2 linked regions of the Ovis aries genome follow. The protein of the gene in region 2 interacts with the protein of the main gene of each other region in a pairwise test. Links are inferred from orthologs where the notes say so. Each region holds a gene or a part of one and is shown on either strand. Other genes may lie near its edges.

Evidence for each region. The genes of interacting proteins can lie anywhere in the genome.
Region 1: the proteins of SIPA1L2 (region 2) and AP3M1 interact in binary tests that used the Homo sapiens proteins (3 or more experiments, as listed by UniProt). The two-hybrid records come from large-scale screens. The link is inferred for Ovis aries from reciprocal best matches to the Homo sapiens genes SIPA1L2 and AP3M1.

What each region holds. Positions count from the first base shown.
Region 1 is NC_056078.1:29,208,073-29,218,375, forward strand, and holds the end of AP3M1 (AP-3 complex subunit mu-1), read right to left. Parts: intron 8,006-10,303; coding exon 7,868-8,005; intron 6,412-7,867; coding exon 6,326-6,411; intron 5,647-6,325; coding exon 5,513-5,646; intron 4,676-5,512; coding exon 4,468-4,675; intron 3,165-4,467; coding exon 3,020-3,164; intron 2,551-3,019; coding exon 2,450-2,550; 3' UTR 476-2,449; downstream 1-475. UniProt on the Homo sapiens protein: Part of the AP-3 complex, an adaptor-related complex which is not clathrin-associated. The complex is associated with the Golgi region as well as more peripheral structures.
Region 2 is NC_056078.1:4,618,990-4,629,292, forward strand, and holds part of SIPA1L2 (signal-induced proliferation-associated 1-like protein 2), read right to left. Parts: coding exon 10,252-10,303; intron 8,290-10,251; coding exon 8,206-8,289; intron 6,538-8,205; coding exon 6,437-6,537; intron 6,084-6,436; coding exon 5,980-6,083; intron 4,306-5,979; coding exon 3,920-4,305; intron 1-3,919.

The DNA.
Region 1 (10,303 bases), about 25 Mb from region 2:
AACTATCTGGAATTCTGTACTTGAAAAATACTTCATTATGATTAAGTACTCATGGATCTTAGTTGTCAGCAGGTGGTGGTAGGGAGAGGAGCTCCGATCACTTCTTCAGTCTGGGCTGGAAGGGTGAATCTTAGATACGGGCTATTAACATAGTCAGGAGAGGAGCATTTGGAAGTGCTTTGCTGCAGCCTTCACACCTCGTGTGATGATGCTGGGTAAAACGGGATCACGGCTCAGCTGCTAAAGAATCCACCTGCCATGTGGGAGACCTGGGTTTGATCCCTGGGTTGGGAAGATCCTCTGGAGAAGGGAAAGGCTACCCACTCCAGTCTGGCCTGGAGAATTCCATGGACTGTATACCATGGGGTTGCAAAGAGACACAACGGAGCGAGTTTCATTTTCAGCCTATTTGAACACTGAGGCATGTGCATCTGAGAATGCTCAATTAACAGTCAAGCTAAAAAAAGTCAACTTGTTGCTTTCATCTTTTTATTGACAGTGTAGCCAGAGCTGGAGAAAGGACTTACTGGATTCCATCAAATTAATAAATACAATAATTTAATTATAAAAGGAAACAGTCTCCTTGGAAGTTTTAGCAGAAGTTACTAGAGGCAAAGGACTCTTGGCATACAATCTGCTGGGATTTGGGAGGGTAGTAGAGAAAGAAAATTAGTCCATATATGGATGGTTGAGGGATTCTGCAGAAAGAAGAACAAATGTATTGATCGCTCTTTTGAGGTATGAACTCTGAAAAGGAAGACATTAAAATGAAAAGCAACTGAACTTGGTAACCAACCTTATGCAAAGGGAATAAACATTTGGCAACATCTTAATTTTAGCTGCCAAGCTGATACTGGTTGTCCTATAAACTGCAAAATGTGATCTTTCAGATTAGATGGAAGGCAGGCTTGGTGCCATAGGCAGCAAAGAATGCTGCTGTGCAGTGGGCTCCCTATATCAGCACCAACCACCAGCCCTTGACAGGAGAATGGGGTGAGTGGAAGGGCTACTGTTAGCATATGGGAAAGGGAATTATAAGTTGAGAAGAACAAAATGAATGGAGTTACAGGGAGAAAACTAATAGCAAGAACAAGCACTTAGATCTTAACTTTATTCTTCATGTCTAATGAACCAAAATAAGTGGGCAAGGACTTCTAAGTCATCCAAGTTAAAAGATAACTGCGGGCTGACTCGCCAACCACAAAGATCAATACAGGTTTATCAATGTTACTGAGGATTTTGTTTCTGCCTTATTATATATGTACTTTCACCTACTTGGTCAGTAGAGTAGAGATATTTAAGTATTCCAGTGACAGTTTCAACAATAGTTTCAGAGAGGAATCTTTTGACTATAGCCTTGGGTAGCACACACTATGTAAAGGGAGTCCCCCTGAAAGCAAAGAATGTAGGCAAACTGAATCCATTAAGAAAAGGAAAGAAAAAAGATAAAAGATTAAAAAAATAATAATTTGACAGTATTGAGGCAGGCACATTTTCTTCCTTTAGCTGAACTAGGGCATGAGGGCTTTAGGCTAATTGGTTCTAAGTGGTATCAGACAAGCTTTATAAAACATGAAGACGGCAAAGGTTCACTTAAGTTTCTCTTTTACTATGTTAGTTTGCTCAAAATCTCAAATGCTTGTGCTTGCAATAACTTCCTAAAAGCAGAAGTAGAAGTAGTGTTCCCTTTTATTACCTTAGAGCATTTGCCCCTTTGATACAAATGACTTTTACTGTGCTAACAGATGAGCTAAGTGGCACAAAACTGAGAGTGTACTTCCTGCAGCAAGGTCCCTATAAATCAAAATCAGCTTTACATAAAAATCTTATTTATAAAAAATACAATACCAAGTACAGTGAGAATGGAGCATGGAGCAGCAGTGCTCCCTGCCAGGGCCATGTGGAGTGGCTTTTGCTACAGTGCTTGCTTAATGGCACAAGTGAAAAGCTGAATAAGGCAAACACTTGAAGAGGCAGTTTTTTGTAAACTTCTTGGGTGGGAGGAACTATTCCTCTGTTGGGACAGATGATTGGGGATGGCTACGATCAAGTGTGACACTTGGCTCCACTTGATACATCACGTTACAGACTAAGACAGCGTCTGCTGGCTGAGACCGGTTCACTTGTTTTAGGGGAGAGGTTATCACTGTAGACTTCTGCCTTGACTGTGAAAATGTGCAGCCTCTAGCTGGTGCCTTCCTATGGAGGAAATCACCTCTAAAACTTTCCTAAGTGACAAGGTACAAATAAGCTAAGTCATTCAGAAGTTTCCTTAGCTTAAAGTTCCTTAAGAACCCTGCATCGATAACTAAGCAACTCTGTTAGCGGTATGTGGCTAGACATAAATGCTTTAACTAGAATATGTATTCCCACCCAATTGGTACCTAATAGTAATACATTGTGATGACGCCTGGAAAACAAATAAATCTTCAGGAATTCTGGCCTCTTCTCATGTCCTCACTTGGAACTTTCCAGCTTTTGTGACGTATTTGACTCCTTTAAATGGCTTATATTTCTCCCCATACATGTCCAAGCGGTTTACTTTTAAGCCTGTGTCAAAAAGAACACATAAGGAAAGGAACAAATTACAGTCCTGGTCACACCAACCAGTACAATATTTGCTTAAGAAACAGTTTACTATACAGTAAATCTGACATTAGCCAGTGTCCATTTCAAGATCTGGAAGCAATGTTCCTTCTAGCATTCACAGATTCAAGTACTAGGAGGGTATGATTTTAGTTCAGATTCCCATATGGACAAGCAATGTCTTTTAAGGATAATTCTACTTTCTTTGAGTATAAATGATTTCTTTCTTTGTGCCTGAATGAGGGTAGGGGTGAAGGGAAGCTATGTGAAATAAGGTGCTCTCCAAAATCACTCTCAAAAATCAAGGAGAGTGAGAGGCATACTGGAGTAGTTGCTCTTTGAAGAGACGGAATGTCAGTTACTCTTCGAAGCTCCTAGCAGCTGACCTCAGCAAAACTCAGTTAACCCTTACACACATCAAATTTCTCCTTACCTGAAATAGCAAGCTGTTGGATCTTGAACTGTATGTTGAGGCTTGGATTCTCTTCTGGCTTGGGAGCCCCAGACTGTAAATTTACCAGTCCTTTAAGACTGGGGAGCTTTTGTGGAGTGATTTTCCCCACATCCCACGTTAGTACCTTAGAAAGAAAAAAACAGAAAACATTCTGAACTATTTATTAAAGACAAATGTTCAAAGACAAGGTTCAAAGACCATAAACTTCTGTAGAAAATAAAGCACAGTGTCTTGGAATAAGAGACCTGGGATTCCCACTGAGTTTTACCACTAGTTAGTTCTGTGACTCTGAATGGGGAGTGAAAAAAGGAGTAGATGCATTTGTTGAGCATCTACTTTTGGATATAATACTGTGCTCAGCACTATTCTCACGCTGTCTCGGAAGTCTGTGATGTAAAACTTTGTCTAATTTTGACAAACAAAGAAACTAAAGCTGGAGTCAGATGACTTGCTGAAGGTCACATAGCTAGAGGAAAGGTTGGGATTTGACCCTAAGGCTATCTGGTATCAAACATCCTTTCCACTATGCCATCTTTACTGTTTCTCTCTGGGCTTAAGTTTAGTTTTCTGTAAAATGAGAAGATGGGCCTAAATCAGTGCTTTTAAACTTTTAGTGATGGAACCCTTTGTTCAAATGAAATACCTAGTGAGGGAGCTCAGTAACAGATGAGAAAATAAAGCTGTTATGGTTGAAGCTGGGGTGAAGGCTAGGGATCTGGAGCTCCTGCTTAATTTCTCAGCCCTGTGTGGTCTCTGGGGAGATTCTTTGACTTCTTAGGAATAGATTAGATGATCTTTAACATTCAATGATTTTATAGTTAAATAAAAAAAGACTTTTCATTTACTATGCAGCTCAATGACTCTATTGAGGAAAAGAATCATTCCTTTACCCAAGCAGGAAGCAGAGAGAAAAATCAGCTTTTACAGTTTCTCTGAACTCCCTCTGCTAGAGGCAAACATATAGAGGGTGAGAAGGCAACTTTCCTAGTCAGCATCCTCTGTAGAAGAGTATGAAATAATGCTTTTAAATTAAAAAGGAAGAGAAAGATCTTAATTTCTTAACAATTAATACACTGTAATATCTATTAACCATTAATAGATTATTATATGCACATAATGCTTTTCTCTTTTTAAAAAGTTTTTATATCTTCCTCATTGAAGAGTTAGTGAACCTCTGGATTATCAATGTATAAGAAAAGGCAGATTCTGAAGGAAGAAGGAATGAATCTCACTTTTCTGCTCATCAACTTAGCAGCAGATGCAAGATTCTCTCCTGTGGCAGAGCACAGCACAATCTGCATTCTAGGCTGTTAGAGCTTTAATTTCAACCAAGATATTAGACCCTTCCCTCTGTCCTCCCATGTCCCCAAATCACAAAATAAGGATTGCAGAAACACTTGCTCACTCTTGATTTTAGGTGACTGTACCTTGGTAACTGGATCAAAAGTATAGCTGCCTTGTGTTGGTGTCAGGTTCATATTCAACACAACTTTCGGCATGTGAACGGTCACCGTGATTGCTTCAATAGTTTTCCCCATATTCTGCTTTGGTCCAATTGTAATATCAAATCTACCACAAGAACTGTTCTCCTTAAAACTGATGCTGTGTTTCACATATACTGGTATTGCCACTAGACTAAAAAGAGAAAGACAGACACAACCACAAAAAACATACAATTAATAGTGTGAGCTCTGGAGGTGGCACAAAAACCCTAGTATAGAATATCCAATACCCGCAGAACCGCAGGTTCAGTATCTGAGCCAGGGCAGTTGAGTACAGCGGTGTTGTGGAACCACTGTGCCAGAAATTATACAATTTCTGAGCAGTAAGTATACAAATCAAGATAAAATTATAGCATCAATAATTGGCACAAACAGTCCTGGTTTCAAGAAATGAATTAAGATCCCAGAGAAAGATAATTTCGAATTACACAAACTAAATATATCAGTTTCTCTGTGATAAGAGCCAAGAAAAAATTCCTCTGCTTTTAAGTTCTGTTTTGATGTTGTCCAAATACTTTCTGATGTTTTCAAGGGACAAACCAGCTACAACCCAGGATGCTAAATCATTCATTTAAACCTCAGTGCAGAGAAGAGTGACTTCAAGCCAGTTAGTTGAGGGATGTCCTGGAGAACTACAGGTAAGTCTGTCTCCTTCTATCAGCCATAATGTCCACAGATCATAGTAAAATTATGGCATGGGTTCATGGTTTCGTCCAGGTTATGCATGGTCCCAAGTGCTTGCTCTAAGGTATATATTTACTATTACTCTATACTCTTAAGATTCAAAGTATACTAATTATATTTTCCGCATATATTTTCACCAGTTTGTTCTGGGTCTCCTGGTGAGCAATGGCTAAAGGGAGCAATGGTGAATTCAAGTAACCAACTGTTAGAATGAAACAGGGAAAAAGTGAGTTCTACACAGCACACTGATAGATGACAGGAGATTATGGTTGATACAACAACATACTTCTGTGAGCTGACACGGTATGATATGAGTCGGAAGTTTCCATCTGGAGGAATAAACGACAGAACTCTTTCAGATTCCCAACGCTTGAACCGAATGCAGGGGTGGAAGCTGACATCATCTAGAAGCCTTGGATTCTGCCATGGAAAAGAGAAGACAAGCATATTCATAAAGTAAAACGAATATGGCAACTCTAGTCAGATATATTATGAGATCTGAGAAATATGCTTCCTTAAGATAAAGCAGTCATGTAAGTTTATTCAGGCTTATCGTTTCACAATGCTTTCAAGTGTACAAATATTTTATATACATTATTATTTGAATTTCAATAATTCAATTCCAGTAATTCCCATGAGGTAGAAAATGTGAGTGGTTTCATTTCCACTTCATAGATGAAAAAACTGAGGTTCAAAGAAAGCTCAAGGCCAGGACAAGTTAGAGGCACAGACAGCATCAGGGCTCAGTTCTCTTAGCAGTTCTCAGTAGTGTAGTATGCCGAATCTAAAATGATGAAAAGATCAATGCCTTTTCATACCAACAGAGCATATAACAACTCAGTAAAAGCAGCACTACATATCCGCAGCAGCCAGCCAGCCATTTAAGCTACTTCTAACATACTCAGAGGCAAAGCCTCTCCACAGCCTATCCATAAAGGCAGTGCTCATCATGTAAGCTACTGTCTTTGGAAGCTGTGCTAGGAATACTTCTTACATAATCCAATGTGATCTGAAAGAAGCATGTATCAGTATTTATCATTTCATTTAGTACTTCATATATATTAGGCACGAAGGAGTTACAAAACAGAGCAAAACTTACCATGAAAGAGAGGGAAAGGTCAGGCATTCCAGAGAGCTTAATGCAAGCATCGATGACCCCCTGAATTTCTGCAAAGACTGTAGATCCTAAAGGAATAATAAAGGTATCACTGGAATATGCATGCATTCTAGTAAAGTAGCTCTACCCTACTAGAGCTATCACTATATCTGAAGTAATGGAGATATCTCCCAGGTGTCAGACATACTGAAGCTTTGTACATCTATTAAAAGGTTAGTGGACAGAGGATCCATTACACCAGTTTAGACAACTTCTTTACTGAGTGCCAAGGCTGTTCCTGTCTCCGGTTGGAACAGGATGATTCTAAGGAAAATCAAACCCATCCTTATCTTTATAGAGTCAGCCTTGTAAGACTGCTGGATGTGAAGTTAAAATACTTTTTTTCCACTGACTTTTAAAATTAAAAAAAAAAAAAACTATTCAATTTTTAAAGGTTACTTTCCATTTATAGTTATTACAAAACATTGGCTATATTCCCTGTGTTTTACAGTGTACTTGTGAGCCTGTCTTACCCCCAGCTGTTTGTACCTCCCATTCTCCCACCCCTTTACTGCCCCACTCCACACTGGTAAACACTAATCTGTCCTCTGTATCTGTGAGTCTGCTTTTTTTTTGTTAAATTCATTTGTTTGTTGTATTTTTTAGATTCCACATATAAGTGATATATAGTATTTATCTTTCTTTATCTGGCTTATTTCATTTAGCATAATGTTCTTCAAGTTCATCCATGTTGTGCAAATGGCAAAATTTCATTCATTTTTATGCTGAGTAATTTTCCATTGTGTACATATATACATCTTCTTTATCCATTTATCTGTTGATGAATACTTAAGCTGCTTCCACATCTTGGCAACTGTAAATAATGTTTGTTTGAACATTTTTTTTTTTGAAGTTCAAATATTTTAAATAAAATTAGCCAAGTTTCTAATGAAATGTTAAAAAGTAGGAACCATAATTCTTTAACAGTACAGCAACTATTCCATACAATGGAATTTTTATAATAAAAATGCAACTCACTGTAGAGATAATTGTCTGTAATTCACAGTAAGTCATTTTCACATACCAACTAGTGGTGTGACCTTTAACAGGTTATTTAACTCTTCTAAGTCTCAGTTTCCCCATACATAACATGTGAGAGTTGGACTAGATATCTTTAGTAAAATATTACGATTCTAATACAGTACTGTTCTTCAGTCTGGGGTCTTTACTAGAAGGACTGCACACAAAGTGGTTGTAAAAAGTATGGTGCACAGTAGACATACACTACATATCAGGCTGGATAAATGGCAAGATAAATGAATACACGATAATTAGCTTAAAGTAAGGTTATTTACTCTGATTTACAAACGTTTGGCATTTCTCAACTAGTGGTTATGAAAATTGTATGTAACCCCTGGGCAAAATAAACAGATTTGAAAACGAATGCCTTTCCGGTACATGATACTGCCAAGGGATATCAGTTTTCTGTTCCGCTTCTGTCACCTGAATGGTTTTCCCCCGATAAGAAAACATGCACCCAATTACCTGATTTATCTATAATTGCATCTATTTCTTCAACAACATCAAAATAGGCTTCATTGTTTGTGTACTTTACCCCTGCGCGGCGCCACGGAATGTTGGACAGCTGCCCAGTGGGGAGTGTGTCCCCAACGTTACTACTGCCTAGAAATCAGAAAAATAGAAAGCAAAGCTAACATATAAAACGGTCAGAAAAAAAAAACCCTCAAATAGTTTAGCTGCTTGTTCAATGTTTGAGTTTCTCTCCACTGAAGTTGTAAATGGTTTACAGAATTGTCAGAGACATATCCATATCAACATGATCAAATTTCTAGAAGACAGAAATAGGCCACATGGTCCTGTGTTTGTCTGCCAAGCCAGGTTAAATTCATTTGCTTATCTTCTGCTTCCTGTGTGCTACAGTAGCCTAACCTAATTCCAGTGGCTCAACTACGGAATCTCCTCCTGCTGCCACTAATGAAAACAGGCGACATGTTTCAAAATCCTTCGCTGATTAAATGTTTGCACTGAGAGTACAGAGTGATAAGTAGGCCATTTGGTGTTCAGCTTGAATTATACATGAGATGCTGCCAAACAGGCCTCTCATGTGGAGAGTAACTGGATGTGGAGTAACTGGATGAAGAACATACTCTGGCCTTTTAACATTTTAAGGTCAGCACATTCATATGGTACCCATATGTGATATGGAAAATGTTCAAAATCTGGCTAATTTCCTGGTTAACTGACATATGTCTGAAAATAAGTCTGGTTGTCCAAAACATATACCCTTGAGCTGTGACACTTTAACATTCTGGTTAATTTACATTTCCAATTCAAAAGTAGTACATGTTTAACAACAACAACAACAACAAGTGAAAAATTAAGAAAAGTAGCTAAAAACTATCTTCCTATTATAGAAATATAGCTACTATTAACATTTTGGTGTATGTATTTCTTCAAACATTTCCCTCTGGAGAAGGTAATGGCAACCCACTCCAGTGTTCTTGCCTGGAAAATTCCATGGACAGAGGAGCCTGGGGCTTGGCAGGTTACATGACTTAGCGGCATACAAACACAGACACACACACACACACGCTGGACAGAGGAGCCTGGGGCCTGGCGGGTTATAGTCCATGGGTCGCAGAGAGTCAGACACGACTTAGCGACACACACACACGACACACACTCCCCCTCAGAGCAGGTTGCATCTATTATTTTTCTTCTATTTTGATAATTTTGCTTTCTTTTTGATTTCACTGTAAAATATATAATTGACCCTTGAACAACACAGGCTTTAGGGGTGCTGATTCCTGTGCAGATGAAAATCCATATATGATTTTATAGTTGGCCTTCTCAAAACGTGGTTCTGCATTAACAGATTCAATCAACTGCGTGGACTGTGTAGTACTATAACATGTATTTATCGAAAAAAATCTAGATTTCAGTGGACTCTTGCAGTTCAAACCCATGTCTGGTTGTAGTTGCAGTCCAATCATACATACAACTTTGTAGTGTGATTACGCTGATGATCCCGTCTCCAACGCTGCTGCTTTCCAGAATTTTCTAAAAAACACTGCTTTAATCTTCCTTCTCAAAACCTTGAAATGCTATCCCACTGGTTTTATGATAAAAGCTAAATATTTAGCCTAGTGTTCAAGGACTTCCTCAACTTAACTTTTTATCTCATGACTCAACTGAAAAACAGCTCTGCTTCTATTAAACAGGTTAAAACAATTCAAGATTTTTCCACTGTGTGTTTTCTCATATGGTTCTATCTATGAAGAATGTTCTTATTCCTCCCTCCCTTCCTAAATTCTTTTGATTCTCCAGATCCCTGCCCTAGGGCCACCCACTACAGTTCAAGAGAGATTACTTCACCCACTGAACCACTCTCTTGATCTTTATTGTGTATTATAAACTTTAGAATTTTTTTGTGGGGATATTTATTTATAATTATGGGCAACTTGTTATGATTGTGCGCTTTTTTTTTTTCCTTTCTTGGCAGTGCTGCATAGCTTGTGGGATCTTAGTTCTCCAACCACGGAATGAACCCAGGTCCCAGCAGTGAAAGCACCAAGCCCTAACCACTGGCCCACAAGGTATTCCACATTCCGTCTTTTTTTCATTTAATAGCACATGATGTGTACCCTCTAATGTCATGACACTGTCTATAAAGTTATGGAATTGTTTTTCAGAATCTTACACTGTTATTTATATGTTTTAATTTTTTCCCCTCAGTTTCTCATCCAGAGTTTACATTTTAGGAACAAAAAAATCTCATCTTATCTTTCCTTAAATTTCTCCTGACACTTATTCTTGAGGATGAGGATGAATAATGGAAAGATCACTTTCTTATAGACCTTGCTTACCCATTTTTTAGGCCAGTGCGCTTGGAAAGGAGTTTGCAATGGTGGATAGTATGCATGGAGTATGTATGGGGTATATACATGGAGTGGTACTTAA
Region 2 (10,303 bases):
TGGGCTCCGGACACTGGGCACAGTTAACCTCTGCACCTCCGATCTCCCTTGGCTATCCAGGCACTGGTTTACTAACTCAATCAACAAATGCTTATCAACAGTCTTCTTAGACTTCCTTCCCGCATTCAACAAACACTGCAATGCCTCCCACGTTTAGGAGCCTGTGCTAAGTGCTGCGGGTACAAGTGCAGGAGACAGGCCCCGGCTTTTCACTGAAGGGAAGACTGCAGCCGGGGTGGGGGGCGATGCGGATGGGATAGGATAAGCTGTGAGCACAGACCACCTCACTGTGGAATGAAAAGATCTGCTGCCACGTCGGTGGGCAAGAAACGTCACAGCGCAAGAAACGTCACAGCCATCAGCGGTTTCTGGCCTCCAGAGGTGAACGAGGGCTCCCCGCACAACAAAAGGATTGTCACAAGCTGAAAGTAGAGAGTTCCCTTATTCGGTCGACATCAGCCAGGGCGGGAGTGCTGAGAAGCAGCTGAGACAAGGTGAGATAGAGTGTGCGGGGCAGGGGGCAACTAGCCAGGATGCTCAGTGCCGATGCCAGCCCCTGAGAGCCTCTTCTCCTCTTTCACTCCCTGGACCACTCCTGGTTACAACTGAGACCCTGGGCAGTGGGCCTCAGCTCTGAGCTGACCATACAAGCGCACAGCTGACGACACTCATCATCACGGAGAACGGGTGCCCCAGGCTGGGCCCCAGCATTTCTGGATCTGCCAAGTCTCAGCACCGCTGAGGTAGCTAGGTCTGTTATGCGCTAATGAGCCAAGTTCCTTTTGCCTCGACACACCAATATTTCAAATCTTACTTTAAATATAAAATATTAATATAGACAGCACTTAAAAATACTTAAAAACATTTTAAAATTAAAAATCATTAAACAAATTTAAAACTAAAAAATTAGAATATTTAAATTTACTTTCTCTAGCCCTTCTGCAGGGGACAGACAGGAGGAAGAAGTGCTCAAAAGATTTAATTTATTGACAAATTCCACATGAACAAAAGCCTGCAACTGAAGTCGAAATGTGGCTTTAAAGTCACTGTCCACTAAGAATGGCAAGAAAAAGGCTTCTGGGTGGCAAAGAAGACCCTCACGTGGCCCATGGCCCTTCTACAACCGCTGTGCACATGTTCAGCGTAAAGCAGGGGCGGGGAAGGAGCAACATCAGCCAGAAATGCAGTCTAGCACCTCCCAGTTCTTTCTACTCATCTGACCCATCACATTAATGGATGCTTAAGGTACTCCAGAGGAGAAGGCAATGGCAACCCACTCCAGTACTCTTGCCTGGCAAATCCCATGGATGGAGGAGCCTGGTAGGCTGCAATCCATGGGGTCGCTAGGAGTCGGACACAACTGAGCAACTACACTTTCACTTTTCACTTTCATGCATTGGAGAAGGAAATGGCAACCCACTCCAGTGTTCTTGCCTGGAGAATCCCAGGGATGGGGGGAGCCTGGTGGGCTGCCGTCTCTGGGGTCGCACAGAGTTGGACACGACTGAAGCGACTTAGCAGCAGCAGCAAGGTACTCCAGAAATCCTACTTCAAGTCCCTATTGATATCCCAACTCTACTCATAAATGAAGGTGCTCTGAAAGCAGAAATTTTCCTCAACAGTAATGCAAAATTCTGTTTGTGATGCCTTTTACACTTGTCTAGCAAGGTTATCAGAAAACCAGCCGCTTTACAAATCTGCTACACTTTGAACAAACATTAGAAGGTTACAAAATGATCATTTGTGCTACTAAGACACAGATGATGATGTTAGTGACAGGAAAAGAAAAGCAGGAAGGCAGCAGCAAGCATGTGTGTGTGTGCAGGCATCTTCGCCCTTTCAATTTATGTAAAAAAATTAACTTATGTTAATTTCCAGGACTAAGAAATATCAATCACCTCAGATATGCAGATGACACCACCCTTATGGCAGAAAGTGAAGAGGAACTAAAAAGCCCCTTGATCAAAGTGAAAGAGGAGAGTGAAAAAGTTGGCTTAAAGCTCAACATTCAGAAAATGAAGATCATGGCATCCGGTCCCATCATTTCATGGGAAATAGATGGGCAAACAGTGGAAACAGTGTCAGACTTTATTTTTGGGGGCTCCAAAATCACTGCAGATGGTGATTGCAGCCATGAAATTAATAGACGCTTACTCCTTGGAAGGAAAGTTATGACCAACCTAAATGGCATATTCAAAAGAAGAGACATTACTTTGCCAACAAAGGTCCGTCTAGTCAAGGCTATGGTTTTTCCAGTAGTCATGTATGGATGTGAGAGTTGGACTGTGAAGAAAGCTGAATGCCGAAGAATTGATGCTTTAGAACTGTGGTGTTGGAGAAGACTGTTGAGAGTCCCTTGGACTGCAAGGAGTTCCAGCCAGTCCATTCTAAAGGAGATCAGTCCTGGGTGTTCTTTGGAAGGACTGATGCTGAAGCTGAAACTCCAGTACTCTGGCCAGCTCATGTGAAGAGTTGACTCATTGGAAAAGACTCTGATGCTGGGAGGGATTGGGGACAGGAGAAGAAGGGGATGACAGAGGATGAGATGGCTGGATGGCATCATGGACTCGATGAACGTGAGTCTGAGTGAACTCCGGGAGTTGGTGATGGACAGGGAGGCCTGGCGTGCTGCGATTCATGGGGTCGCAAAGAGTCGGACACGACTGAGCGACTGAACTGAACTGAACTAAGAAGTCTAAAACTTTTTTCAACAAGATGAGACATATCCCATGGTATCAGTCATGAAAATCAAGGCACCGCTGATGAGGTCTCTGCCTCAACTGAGAGGATGGCCGATGCAATTCACGTGTCCGTGTGAGGTCACAGCGAGCCTCGCTATGGTCCATTGGTTCATCCCTCCAGGCTCAGCAGAGACCACGTGAGGATGAGGAGCAGGTGGAGTGAAGGGCAGGGCCAAGGAGCACAAGGCCTGCCTGTTGAGCCCAGTGCCGGCCTTGAGCATCGTCACTGGCCATGGCCCTGGATGCCTGGAGGGACAGCCCTATCACCGTTCATCTGGCTACAGTCCAGCACCTGGAAGGGTTCTGGGGGAAAGTCAGACGATGACTCAGCTGAAGGAGGGAAGGCTTTGCAGACAAGAAGGAAAATGACAGGGGTCGTTGGTGTGCAGGAAATTCTAGCCACGGCCAAACCTGTATCAATGCAGCTCTTTGCTTAGTCTTTGAGGGGAGGAATCTCCAGTGATGCATTTTAAAGTCACTGTACACTTTTGTCATATGGGAATTGAAAACTACTCATAAAAATATATTAAACATCTACAGTTAGAACGTAATTCCTTTAAATGTAACTAGTCATTATATTGAAAAAGAAAGTGGATCATCAATCTGAACACATTTCCAGCACACAGCTGTGTAAGGGGGCCCGTGGAACAGGAGAATGGGGCACAGGCTTTCAGGCGGCAACACAGAGACCACCCCTCCTTACTGTCCGTCGTCATCTGAGTACCGTCCAGCTGGTACCACACCTCCTGAAAATCTGGGACAACAAACTGAACCTTTCACCTTTTGGGAGGCGCATGAGATCTTAGTTTTCCAACCAGGGGTCGAACCCACGCCTGCTGCAGTGAGAGCATGGAGTGCTAACCACTGGGCCACCAGGGAAGTCCCAGGGACAACACATTGAACTGCAGAGAAACATGAGTAGCCTGATGACTGCCGTGAGCATCTGTTTCATTTTCTCTCCAATTTAAAGAGAAAGGAAGATGTAATCACAAACTTGTTCACATGCACATTTCAAATGAGACTCTGGACATAAGCCCTCCATCTGAAGCCAGGCAGTTTGGCCCACAGGTGACAATGATCTCAGGCACCTTCTGGTCCTATTTCAGGCCCCTGCCCCCACCCCAGCAGCAGATGACAGCGCCGAGTAGCTGCCAGTCACAGCATGGGGAGGTCCTTACCTGGAGTGGGACGAAATCTCGCTGAGGTCGCCCAGGCTGCCGTCGGCAGCCCCACTGGTGGAGATGCCAGGCGCATAGCCATGGGCTGCGTACATCCTGGCCTGCTCGTCGTCGGGCCCCGGGATGTCAGAGTCGGCCCAGTGCTCTGCCCGCCCGTGGATCAGGGACCGGCTGCCCGCCAGGTGCACGGGGCCCAGGACTGCAGCAGGCATGCACGGGGCCGTGTCAATGCCACTGTCCGTGGAGGCCCCCTTGATGTACGTCAGCCCCAGCAACTCGGGATCCATGAGGTCCCCAGACCCAAAGTGCTTGTCGTCGCTGTTGCTGGAGGTGTTGCTGGAGAGCGTGTTGCTGCTGGAGTGGCTGGAGCAGCTTTTATCTCCGATCTTGAGAGGAGAGAAATGGGGAGGCTTCAGACAAACCCTACACTTTGCTTCTACACGAAGGCGATTATTCTCCCCAGACTCACGAAGCTACAGACCTGATGATTTCACCCGAACCCTTTCTACTCGCTTGTCAGCAGGAAGCAAGGCAAGAATTTACTTTTCAAAAACATCCTGGTTTCATGCAAAAGTCCCTGAGTCATAATTCCTCCCATCATTCATCCTAAGTTAAATGGGTATCTTTTCAAGTCTTTGTTCAATTATCTGTACATCAACACAAAAGTATTGCCACACTGTCACTAATCGGAAAGCAGTTAACGAAGGTTCTAGAAGCTGGGGAAGTACATGGGGAATTAAGAGGAGGGAAACAGCCTTTCTTCAGAGAATGCTCCTGTGACAAGGGACAGGGCCAGTCCTGGGTGTGGGGTAGAAGACCCAGGTTTGAATCACAGTAGGGGGGATCTTGGCCAGTCACTCAGCTCCTCTCTGTGCTTATTATACTGAGCACAGGGATTACTGTGCAGACCCAACCAGTTCACGCGTGCAGAAGCACTGTTTAAGCATGATCCACACCCACCCCCAGAGCCCCAGTCAGGGGAGACCCGGGGTTGATGAGATGGGGTGCTCTTGGGGGTGCACGGAGGTCCCTGGAAGATGAAACCAAGAGAGCAGACTAAACGTCCCATCTGATGATGTTCTGGTACAGACACGACCCCTCCTCTCAGCCTGGATGGTCAGCCTAGGGCTGTGGAGTCACGAGACCCAGCCACCTGTGATTTTCAAGTGGTCTGGCCCTTCCTTCTTTCCGTCTTCCCTTTCTTCCTTCCATCCCTCTCTTCTTCCCTCTTTCCCTCCACCCTATCAGATCCTTAAGCAAATCCCGATGCCCTCTGTTATCACAAGTGGATCTTCTCAAGTTCACCCTTCCCCTCCCCCACTGCCCGTGTGCTGGCGCCATCAGTTGGCTCCGCGAGGCCGGCTCAAGACAAGCTGAGAGATGGAGGCCACATGTTTGCAGGTAACAGCTCTGAGGCTGGCCAATGACACGTGGAGGAGGAGAAGAAAAGGAACAACTTGGGTCAGGACCTGATAAGACGTCTGCAAATTTTGAAAAATGAGCTACTTTATAAGGTTGGCTTCATCTGGCAACAACTAAAATTCCTGTTTGCACATTTAACTGGTAGTTTCATTTCACTGAGCTACAGTCACCTACATGGCTCCTTTTCATTTCTGCAAAGAGTAAACAGAACCACATGGGCGCTGTGGGACCCCGGGAAGCCTGGCAGGTGGCTGCTGCCGGTGTCCCTGCATGCCGTCTGCAGCTGCTCCCTGAGCGGCCGGTACCAGGCACAGCATCACCCACCGCACACCCTGCCGCACAGGTTCTGCTTCTGTATTTTGCCCACATGCGGATAATAGTCAACAGATTAAAACCACCAAGCATCAAAGGCTGAGGTTACAGTCCTGGCTTTGCCAATAGTTTACGGGATGACTTTTCTCTGTATTTCTTTATGAAAGGAGAGAGAGAAAAAAGAACCTCCCCACTTTTTTTTTTTCTTTTTAACTTCACCCGAGACCCTTATGAGATAAGTGATGCCACTGAGAATCCCTGGCAACAATGCTAATAAAACACGAGTGCTGAGATGAACAGAAGCGTTGGTTCATGACAAGACTCACGTGAGAAAGCTTATTGGGAGAATCCTTGCAACCTCCATCCTTTTGCAGGCCTCTTTCCTTATAGGAGCTCAGGACTTTGGAAGGCGGGCCATGCCATTTGGTTTCTGTCACACACAGAGAGAGAAGCCTTAAAGATCTAATCTCTAGCATTAACAGAGGAGCAGAGAAACTCAGGGGCCAAACACTGTGGTTCAGTGACCACCATCAGGACTGGTTGTAGGACCTTCTGGTCCTACCCACAGAGAGGTCCTCAGAGCAGACAGAACCACCCCACGATGCTCACGGTCAGTTTCCCAGGCACCACCAGCTACGAGCACATCCCGGATGACCTTGGGGGCCCAGCAGCTACCCTGCACAGGGCAGGATGGTGCTGGCCAGACGGGAATGGATGAGTGAACCAGTGAAGGGGGAGGAAGGGGCAGGAGAGGGGCACGCGAGGGGCGGGAGTCCGGGTTACCAGCGTGTCTGCTCCCTTCCGCGGTGTCCTCCCGCTCCCTGGCTCCGTCACATTCCAAGGGGCCGGAGCCCTGGTGCTCCAGCAGCAGGGGAGACTGGCACCTGGAGAGAACACAGAGCTGAGGCGCGCCCGCACGCTGTCTCGCCAGTGTCCCTGTGGGTGCTGGTTCCGAGGGGCAACCCCAGGGATCCCTCGTCAGAGGCTCTCTGCTGCCGCAGCTCTGCCTGACAGAGCAGCTTAGAGCATCTGGACCTGGGGGCTCCTCTGTCACCCCTGGGTCCAAAGAGGCACCCGGATGACACCATTTACAGATAGAGGAGGCGGCCAGCACCAGGGGCTGAAAGGACTGTTCGGGTCCCTGTGGACTGAACACGAGCCCGTTGCTTTTGCTGCCACTGTTTCTCCTGAGTGCATGTACTGATGCTTCTTCATATCAACTTTTTTAAGGAAAAAGAAAATCAGATCCATTTGCTGCTAGACTACATCTGGCCGGACTTTTGCTTTATGAAAATCCCCAAATAGGACAATTTACTCTTCCAAAGGAAACTGCAGAAAGCTTATTCATGTTATAAAGGGACCCTTTCTTCCAGAATTCCAGTTCTAAATCCTGATCTGCAGAAAAAGCCAAGACATGCTTTTTCCACTGACATAAAGCCTCCCCCATCTACTTTAAAAATGCAACTCAAACAAGAAAGATTTCTTTAGGTACAACATTTTTGTTATTGTTTTCCAGTCTCTAAGTTATATTCAATTCTTTGTGACCCCATAGACTGTAGCACACCAGGCTCCCCTGTCCTTCACTATCTCCCAGAGTTTGCTCAAATTCATGTCCATTGAATCTGTGAGGCTATCTAACCATCTCAAAAATTTAAAAAAAAAAAAAAAAGTACAACTTTTAAGAACCCCATCCAGCATCTAAAGCAGGGAATGCATATAACTCGGACTATAAATCTCTACTTCTCAGCCCAAACCAGAAGGAGAGAGGGTCCCAGGAGAGGGTTTCCCTGGGCACATGTGAGAGGAGGAACAGAAGCGTCTCTTATCTGGTGCAAGGCCCCCCAGCTGCCTGGACAGTCCATCATCTCAGCAGTGCACCCAGCTCCTTCAAGTGGCAGAGGCAACACTGGCTTGCAACAATGCACAGAAACACTGCTGCTGGGGGCAACACCTGCATTTCCTTATAAAAATACAGCCACATTCCTGGGGCGGCCCTCCTCTTCCCAAGAGTGTGCAGCTATTTTCCTTGAGTTACTGCGTCCATCCATCCTGGGTCCTGTCCATAGGTGCCCTCAGGCCCCTGGGCACTGTGTGCACACAAGGGACAGCCCTGCCCCCAGCTTCCACTTGCTCTCAAGGAGGCAGAGGAAATGTGTCACATGCTAAATCTGCCTCCTCAGACTCTGGGCTGTGTTTTAGAGAGAAAAACACTTTCAAGAAAGACTGTGAATTTATTCCTCGTCAGCAATGTAAGTGAAGGGAAACTCCCAAGGGCCATCACCCACAGAGTCTCCAAATTCTTAATTTTCATGTGTTCAAAAAGACTCTCCCTTATTAAGAAGAAAAGAAAAGAAAACAGACAAGTTCAGAATATAGACAAATGAGTCCACTTTCACAGAAACAATGAGCTACCCAGTCTGGAAGCACTGGCCCTAACAAAGTGCTATCTGAGTCTCTCTGTCCCCAGTGGCCTTGTGCACAGTAAGTGCTTCTGAATGTGCCCTGAAGACATGTCCCCCCAGGAGCCCACAAAAGGGGAAAAGGAGTGGTACCCGTCGTATCCAACTTGTGGTCTCCAGGGTCCGCTGCTGCCTGGTCCGGGGTCGCTGGACGATGACTGATTGCTGGGCGAACTTCTGAAAGGTTGACTACAATCAGTAACAGGTACGGAGGTGGGCTGCCAACATCTGGACCTGGCTCGTTTTGACTTACAAATGAATTCATTTTTCAATGACGAAGAAAAGGGGAAACACACACTGTGGTCATGGACAAATAAACTGAGAATTGGTGATGCCATGAGATTCCAGAGGTATTATGGTTGCTAATTTATTATAGGAAGGAATGTGGCAGGAACAAGGCTTTACCATCTAAAGATTGAAAGCACAGCTAATGATCCCAGTTAAACACGGGGGACAGCAATAGGATACACAGAATTACGAAAACATCACTACGACTTGGTCTATGAGACATTGCAAGGGATGCTGTGGTTCTATATTTAAAACCGAGGCAGAGAGAAAACTCTAAATTTGGCGAAACCATTTATTTCTGCACATGTATTGAATGTAATCCTATTTATTTCAGACACACAAAAATGAGTGACACTTGTGAGAACTCATTTGAGGAAGACGTGCTTGCCAACTTTTCATTTTGCTATTAGAAGCCTTCCTTGTGTGTGCGTGTGCATGCTAACTGGCTTCAGTCCTGTCCAACTCTTGCCAACCCTATAGACTGGTTCCTCTGTCCAAGGGATTCTCGAGGCAAGAATACTGAAGTGGGTTGCCATGCCCTCCTCCAGGGGGATCTTCCCAATCCAGGGACTGAACCCAAGTCTCTTTATGTCTCCTGCACTGGCAGGTGGGTTCTTTAACACTAGCGCCATCTGGGAAGCCCCAAAGAATTCCTTATAAGTTAGTAAATTATATGTTAATAAGGGAGGTTCTATAGACCCTTTCCCTTTCAGATGTAACCCCTTTACACCCAGGCTACCTACTGTATGCATTTCTCTGAATATAAACTCAGCAGACCTTTGAGAAGGGAGATCCAGAGCCCAGATGATTGACTGTCAAGTTAGTTACACCATTCTTGCACTCATTTGAGGAAAAACAGACTGGAGAAGTCAGAGGAAGACCACATGTTTTAATCCTGGTAATTATTATTAACACCTATAGAGACTTACACCTATGGGCCAGGACTGTTCTAAGCAGTTAACCTCTGTGGATTGATTCAGCCATCATAATGCCCTGTGGAGGTCTCTATTATAGCCAAGTTTACTTTTCATAGGAGGAAACGAGAATGGGAGAGGCCAGGTAACAGGGTAAGGTGATGACACGTTCAGCGGGCAGCCTGGCTCAGTGTCTGCTTACAACATATGGTCTATTAGATGAAAGCCTAACAAGGAATTGTGAGGAAACTCTTGGTGTCTCCACAGCCTGTAAGTTACGTGAAAGTTAAACCAAAGGGCATAAAAGTCAATAGCAACAACGAATCTACTATGCTGTTCACTTTAACTACCTCTCTGTGCCACGTCTCTAAATTCTCAGCAGCTTCTAATGCTACTGGATTTCACTCTTAAACAGGTGCTCCCTCTCAGGGAAAAACTTAATTTTAAACTCAACTCCCTCTGCTTAAAATGAGAGAGAAAAGCAAAGAGATGCCAGTGATCTTAGGACCTCTGAAAATACTGTGACCGTTAGGATGACGGGATTTCATCAGTGATTCTTGTGGCTTTGTTTTCTTTATACTCAAAACTGTTCACGCTTATCTAGAGGCTCCTGCAGAATGGTTTCCCAGTGTGGTTTGGAGAGCGAGTTGACAGGAGGATTACCGCAGAGAGGTACAATGGTGGCTCTGGGGGGTGGTGTCCATGGCACCACTGCTGGCTGGGACCACAAGTGCCCCAGCACTCGGGGCCTGCCCAGAGGCCCTGCCATTAGCACCACCGCTGGCTGGGACCACAAGTACCCCAGCGTCCAGGGCCTGCCCAGTGGCCCTGCTGCCCACTTGGTCAGAACAAGCTAATTCAGAAGTGACTAAGCCACACATAAGTCCCCCACCACATGAAGTTCCAAGCCAGGGCTTCACCAGGGCCCCCAGCTTACCTGGTACCATCGGGCAGCTTCCGGTCGAAAGAGGTGCTGCGGGGGATGGCGG